Linked DNA regions of Drosophila melanogaster. The gene in region 2 interacts genetically with the main gene of each other region. Each region holds a gene or a part of one and is shown on either strand. Other genes may lie near its edges.

Region 1 (3,758 bases), on a different chromosome or scaffold from region 2:
TTTCTGATCTTTTGGTTTTCCGATTCTCTGGTTTTCAGTTTCTCAGTTTCTCAGTTTTTTTTTTTTTAAACTTTTGGATGTCATTTGTGCCGCCGCTGCCATGCTCGGTGTATTTTGCTAATTACTCTATCGCAAACGGATTCCATTTCAGTTTTTTGGGTCACTTGCAGGCAGACAAATGATATGGAATATATACATTTGTTTGCTAGCAAAATTCCATTGCCTGATTTTTGAACAAAAAACATAATATCGAATAGTCAAATGGAAAATATGACTTTTTTGTTGCTTCGCCTTTTGTTTGCTACGCGATACTTCTTTGATAAATATTTAAAGCATATATTTGAATTTAAGAAGTTTTAGTTGTACATTCGATTGAACTGAAAGGTAAAGCTAATAAAATCTTGGAAAAATATGTTTAACTAGTAGTATGCTAATATAAACTAAAAGCCTATTTTCTAGTTTAAGTTTTGAAACAGATAGTAAAAAAAAAATATACTTTACAGGACTTAAAAGTCTAAACAAAAGTAAAAGTTCATGCAAAAGTTATAACATATTAAAAATCTACTTGTATGCTTGTTTGCGACTTTTAAAGGTACACAACCTAATATCTTAATATCCGATTTAAAATACTCCGCGGTAGAGTTGCCTAATCCTCTCCAGCTTAAGTCAACTCAAACGACTCACCTTCGATCTGCTTCATGGGACTGAGTCCGCCGGTCATGTACGGCGATGTCCAGTAGTCGTTGCCATAGCAGTTGTAGTCCGTTAGGCTGGTGTCCAGGAACTGCATGGATGTGGTGGTCATCATGGCGCCGGCGCACTCAGTGGGGCCCATCAGGTGCGTCATGGCGAGCGTGATCGTTGGAATATATATATATATGATATATATATATGATGGCTGGATATGTGATGCTCACAGTGGAAGAAAGGAAATCGCAGCGAGTTCTTGGCCCATTTATTCCATTTATTCCGGCACAATTTGTTTTGATCTCGAACGTTATTCGCGCAGTTGTCAAATTTGATTATTGCACCCACACACAATCACTCACTCATTCACTCACTCACTCACTCACTGTGCACTGCAAAAAAAAAGTATGTAGTGGTGCGAAAATCCAACGCCAACCTTTCGCTGTTGTCAATCAGAATCGAGATCGAGTTCAAGAATCGAATGAAAAATCAAATTAATTCTCTTCGAATTGTTTTTATGGCCCGATCGCGTTGACTGGCGAAAATTTGCCCGATTGTAGTTTTTTGTTTTTTGTTTTTTTGTTTTTTGTTTTTAATTCCCTGTGTTAGCTGATTGATTGACTTGAACTTCTTTTATTTGTTTTCTTTCTAATTCGACTGGCAGAAAGCGTTGAGTTGTCTCAATTGCCACCTTCTTCCGGCCAAGTGCGAACTGATTATCCCGTATAGTATCCTATGTTTATATCTCGCGGATATATCGATCTGATCTGATTTCGAATGCGATCTCTGGATGCCTAGATCTCTGATCACGCACACATCCGTTCCGTCAAGCGCTGGTCCGCCGAATGAGAACAACTACTGCTGCGGCTGCTGCTGCTGCTGCTGCTGGGCAGATGCATCGCTGCCTCTCGAGATCCCAAGATGCCGCATTGTACGGACCATCTCCCCAAATCGAGAAATCTATCCGCCAATCGCCGGCCGCAGCATCCAAATTTAGACTCGCCAGCCGCACCAATCGATCCACCAATGGCCGCACGGCCACCTCCTCCTCCTCCATCTCCTCCTCCTCCTCCTTCTCCTTCTCCTCCTTCTACTCCTCCTTGGATCGCACCGACATGTGTTGGCTCGCCTGGGATCTAGCCTAGTATCAAGTGGATGAATATGCCGCGCAGAATTGAGCGTAGGGTGCGCGCAAGGCATTTACCAGATGTGGCTACAGTGAGGCCTAGAACTTGGTGAACACTTGGGGTTTGCTATCTGCAACTCTTTGTTTGGTTTTATGCAAACTATGCTTAACATAGTTATATTTATGTAATCTAATTTGATCATATTAATAACTTAATGCATGTAAATAGTATAGAGGTATCCTTTAGAGTATATAGATCACTGTACTCTCCACACGTTTCACTAATTTCTGCTCCACTGTTTACTTCTCTCTTGTTTTTTTTTTTTTTTTTGAAGGGGCGTGGTCTTTGACCATAAACAGCAGGCGGTGGAGAAGATCAAGAAGGAGGAGGAGCAGGTGATCCCCACTTTTGCATATTGTTTTCTTCATTCTCTTTTTTTTCAGGGGGGCGCGCTGATCAGTGGGCGTGGCCCGTGGAGTGGGTGGCCGACCAGAGTCATGGGCCTCATTTGGAAAACGCTTTTAATTGGACTGCCGCACGCATGGTGGTGCTGGTTGCTCGTGGATCTCGCGGTGCTCCGCTCAATGCTGCAGTGCAGCCGAGATGTTGCTGCTGCTGTTGGCCATAAATACAAATTGCGCCATAACCTCGACACTAAATAAACCGTAAAAAGGAAAACGGAATATTAAGACGTTGGCAAGGCGCACCCAAAAAATTCAATTCATTTGGAATAATCATAAGTTTTTGGAAAAAATTGCATTAAACATAAGAAATACGAAGAGAATATGAATTAATACTTAATACATAAAAAAAAGGATTACTGCTAATTTTTCATACGAAATTTGAATTAGCTGTGAGCAACATTTGCGCTCAGTGTAGCGGCGGCCACCACCTCCGCCACAAGAGGGAGTGAGATGGGCGGTCGAAAATGGCGTCTGTTGGCCATTGGAGCCCGGAATGTGGGCCCAGCGGAGATGGAGATCCGGGGAAGCCGAGAAAACTGGACCGATCAAAGTGAAACAGCCCGATTAACCGGGTGCGTCTGCTTTTCATCAGCCACGGCCATTCCAATTAGTGGGTACATACATATGTATACATATAGATGGTATATCTATTATATATAGCATGTAGTAGTATATGTTACCTGGCACACGGGGTCTCCAAGTGAATCGATTTGTTTACCCTCCCTCCTACTCACCCCTTCCATATAAATCTACGCATCCAGTTGCGTCCTGGATTTATGGAACAACTGCTTGTTAATGTTTTTCCCTGATTTTCGTTTGCCGCACTACTGTTTACAATTATTTTGAGTTAATTTTTTTTCCCCTTTTTTTTGGCATTTTCAGAAGCATTTCGATCGCAGCAGATCGTACCATGCAGTCCATAAATAATACATAAATTTGAAAAATTGTTATGGCATTGGCCATGCCATTTTAGTCGTTAATTATTTGTTTGAGTGTAAACAATTGGAAATGAAATGCTAACTGCTTCGAAGAAATTACTTAAATGATTCATAAATTCGATATTCGATCTTTTTTATCGATTATATAAATATTATATATAAATGAGTGTAATGCATTTGTTGTAAAATTTCCATCATGGACGAAATCGACTAAAGGTTTATTATTGTATCGTAAATTTAGATTCCAAATCGAAGCGTTTGGCTTAAAGGAATTTCGAAATTAAATGACGACTAAATATTTTTAATTTAAGATAATTTACAACAGTCTACTTCTCATTGTCGTTATTCGTGGCCTTCTTCTTGAGATCCAGAGAATCCATGAGATCCAATGGAGCAATCCAGCTCCGGTTCCGTCTGGCCTTTGAGCGATAAATCATCGGTTTGAATTGAGGACAAATCGTGTCCAGTCATGTCCTGGGCCTCCAGTGCATCATCATCGTCACCTGCGTTGAAGTTTAGTTGACTTTCGTCGTCCGGTGGAT
Region 2 (3,758 bases):
CAGGGGCTCCGGGATTGCCGGCGGGTCCCTGGACTCCGGGTACACCAGCCTGACCATGAAGACCAGGCGATCCGCGCTCACCCTTATCACCACGCTGTCCGTATGGGCCGGGATCACCCTTCTGACCCTTGTCACCAGATGGTCCCTCCATGCCAGGGAAACCCATTTCGCCCTTCAATCCCGTGGGTCCAAGAGGGCCCGGCAGACCACGGTTGCCCTTCTCCGCTATGCACTTGGGCACACAGCCCGCATATCCGGCCGTACAATTCTTGGGCGGCAGATCGCCGCGCGCCACGCCGGCAGAGTCTACAATGTCGTAACTGTCGTCGATTGGGAACTTGGGTTCATTTCGATTGTAGTGTTTCACGGAGTCCTGAATCGAACCGGCCGTACCAGCCGTCTTCCAAAATTGCTGCGGGGAAAAGGAGTATATTATTCAATGTCCAGATGGATGGCATGGGCTACGGTTATCTTACAGCGTCGGCACCGACTAACGCTCCCGCGATCACAGCGGCGTATAGCAGCCTGCAAAGAAGTCGACGAAGATCAGGAGGGTTAGGAACTGTGCTTCGTCTTATCAGTCTAGCTATTTAATTGGACATAGCTCTCTTCGATTGGCAGCTCTCTCTTAAGCCGTCAATTCAAGAGAGTTTGCTAAAGGCGCTTAAGAGAGAGCTTACAAGTTTTTAAGAGATCGCGCTTCGAAAAATTAAAAAAAAATTGAACAAATGTGATGTTTTAAATTATGTATTTTTGTATTGCTGATATCTAAAATATTAATTTAAAAACTAATATTTGCTCTTTCTGAATGGATTAGAAAGAAAAAAATTGGCAATACTTTTTTAGGCCATAACTGGGTTTTAATCATTAAAAATTTCAAAAAAATTTTAAATTTTTAAATAGAGTATTATTAGTTGTTAAGTAAGTATTATTGTCATGGTTTTTAATAATTAACAATTGCTTTCTTTGATTAACTTAAATTTTTGCAACCATTTGTATTATTTTTCTAACTTTTGTCATTTTTCTTACCGCTTCCAGAAGGGCAACATGATGCCCTATGCACTTAAGCCTGCACAATTATTTGCTCTGTCCTCGTCGAATTTGAAGTTTATATGTTGCCGTCGCTGGGCCTGGAAAGATGAGCCAGAGAATTGGGCACTTTAATTTCGCAACAGTTGCAAAATAAATTGGAAATATTCTTAGAGGAATATTATTTTATTTAATATTTGTGGGAAAATCGAGCTGGCTTATTTTTTTTCAACGATTTAATTCTTGTATTTCGTTTCATTTCATTTCCAAGCATATACACGCGACAGTTTGAGAGGCACTGGAACTGGTACGAGACTCGCACAACGACTTGCTGGATATTTTCAATTAATAGTACGCGTTCTTCCTGATTTAATTAAGATATTTTATGTTTATATTATTTTGTTGTTGTAAAAGCTCAGTTCCTTACAGGAATCAAATCCTATTTAAGGGACGGTTGGACGGGACGGGACGGGACCCTAATGGAAACACACATTCACAACCGAGCGATCCGATCCGAACCGATCACCACTCCACAGCGCTGACTAAAGACTAAAACCAGCTGGCCAGATCAGCTCCGGACCGAGACCAGACTACTACTTACTCGGGGAGACGGAACACGACTAATTATAGTATAAGTTCGAGCGATCCAAAAGCCAAACGCCGATGCCCCGATCTTCACTCGTCGATCGTTCGGCTTGGCACGATCTCGACGATCGGGTCTACGGCTCATGTACACTATCCGTGTGATTCGACGGGGATTGGATGGGCATCGGATCGGTTGCGATGGCTGCGAGGTGGCTGGTGGGAGGTGGGTGGTGGCACCATGGCATATAGAACGGATGGGCGACGGGTCGTCGTATGTAGCAACACTAATCCCACAAGTTAACATAGTCGCTGCGGAATGAATGAAACTTGGCGATAAGTCCGTCGCTGCTGTTGATATGCCACATGCGACTTAAGTTGCTCAATAGCACATCAGCTTCGTTCCGCCGGAGCACCTCCCCGGGAGCACCTTCAACCAGCTCTCCGGCTCCCAGATCCCAGCTTCCAGATCGCAGCTACCAGCTCCCATCTCAAAATTAGCTGATAGCCCCCGCCCTGAGATCGGGCACATGGCTTCCGTTTTGGTCCGCCCCTGCGGCTCCTGCTTTTTGGACTTTTTTCGGTGCTCGGGCAAGGGAAATTCCGAAGGCTTCGCTATCAGGCCAATGTTCTAATTATAACCTCATCAAAATTTTGTGTGTACTTACAATAAGTATGATAAAAATATCTAAAACTTAAAGGATAACAAAAACATGTGTAAACATTTTATTGGCATATACTTTACTTTTAATAGGATTATAGTCCTTTTCTAAGTTTTAAAAATATTCTCTAGCTTTCAAAACTGATATAATTAATTTGACAAAGGTTTTGAAGATTAAATCTCTTTTTAAGCTTTACTTGGTATATTTTTATTTGCTATATATAACTGATTATTCAAATCATTCCATTCTTTTCTAAAACAAAATATTTTAGTTTGATTGATTTTAGTATGTCGATGCAATTATTGTTTCAAAGAATGGTCTTTTTTCGATTTTTTTTGTATCTATCTACGCTTTATTAAAACTAAATGTATCTTAAATGAAATTTCATTTTAAGTGCCAAGTTTTATACATACTTAAAATAATTATTGTTATTTAATTAATAATAATTATTGAGATCCATTCATTTTGATAGTAAGTACGACATAATACTTACTAATACCGCTCTAAACATAAATTAATAAGATTTTAAGTTGCCGAAGTGCGACATCATTTAATATCCTAATCACAGCAGTTTCCTGAGAAGACATATATTCAGGCCACTGGGCCATATCCGACTTGCACGTACCCTAGAACAAAAGAGCTTTCCCAACTAGAACGAGGCCTTGATTATAGCCGCCCTATCAAGACTTATTTCAAAACACTGTGGCCCCGAAACCCAAAATCAGGCTCGAATTTCGAAAGGTTCCCATTTGGCTTTTCTGCGTCGGACTTATTGGAGCTTAAAACTCATGTTCGGTTTTCAGTTGATCAGTAGTTCGTTCTAACAGGAAATACTCAGCCATATCCGTCTTATCAGCCTCACATATGCCATATATGTAAGTACTAAATGAAAAAGCCTTAACCTAATCACGAGAAGCGCGACAAACAAACTAGCATCTAATTGTATTGAAATCACTAGGATAGCTGGGATTGAGTATTAGAATAGCTTTTACCCCGCAAGAAATATCGTGTGTCGCTAGTTGGAACTATCATTTAAGTTATATGCGGATGGTTATTATGTATAAATGGTATGTGCCTGTTAGTAATAGTTAGTAATAGTAACATTAATTAATAAATTATTTAATAATTTGTATTTTCCCAAGAGACGTGCCTAATAAAAAGAACAAAGTGAGAATCTGATTGATCATACCCCTTCAGGGATACGGTACCAAAATGGGAAATAGAATTTGTATGCTTAGAATCGGGCCGCTTTGATTTGGTTAGAGGGCTCTGCTCCTCATTTCCTCGTTTCAAGGCGTCAAAGTGCTAAATTCCGAACCATAACCAGAGCCCGGAGTCACATCTACATCCAAACCTCCATCCAAATCTCCATCCAAAACATCCATCCGGGCCTGTCCCTGGCCTGTGCCTACTACACTCACACTGCTGCAACTTCCACTTGCGATAGTATTGGTGGGCCGAGAGCCGATCGCGAACGGCCGAACT

What was found.
Region 1: of Col4a1 (region 2) and org-1, changing one suppresses a phenotype caused by changing the other (phenotypic suppression), as found in Drosophila melanogaster (one study listed by BioGRID).

The regions. Positions count from the first base shown.
Region 1 is NC_004354.4:8,453,448-8,457,205, forward strand, and holds the start of org-1 (optomotor-blind-related-gene-1), read right to left. Parts: upstream 1,623-3,758; 5' UTR 848-1,622; coding exon 685-847; intron 1-684. Other genes in the region: CG32713 (uncharacterized protein), read right to left, coding at 3,559-3,758.
Region 2 is NT_033779.5:5,027,509-5,031,266, reverse strand, and holds the start of Col4a1 (collagen type IV alpha 1), read right to left. Parts: upstream 1,659-3,758; 5' UTR 1,521-1,658; exon of another isoform or gene 1,457-1,520; intron 1,131-1,456; 5' UTR 1,050-1,130; coding exon 1,030-1,049; intron 526-1,029; coding exon 477-525; intron 413-476; coding exon 1-412. UniProt on the Drosophila melanogaster protein: Collagen type IV is specific for basement membranes.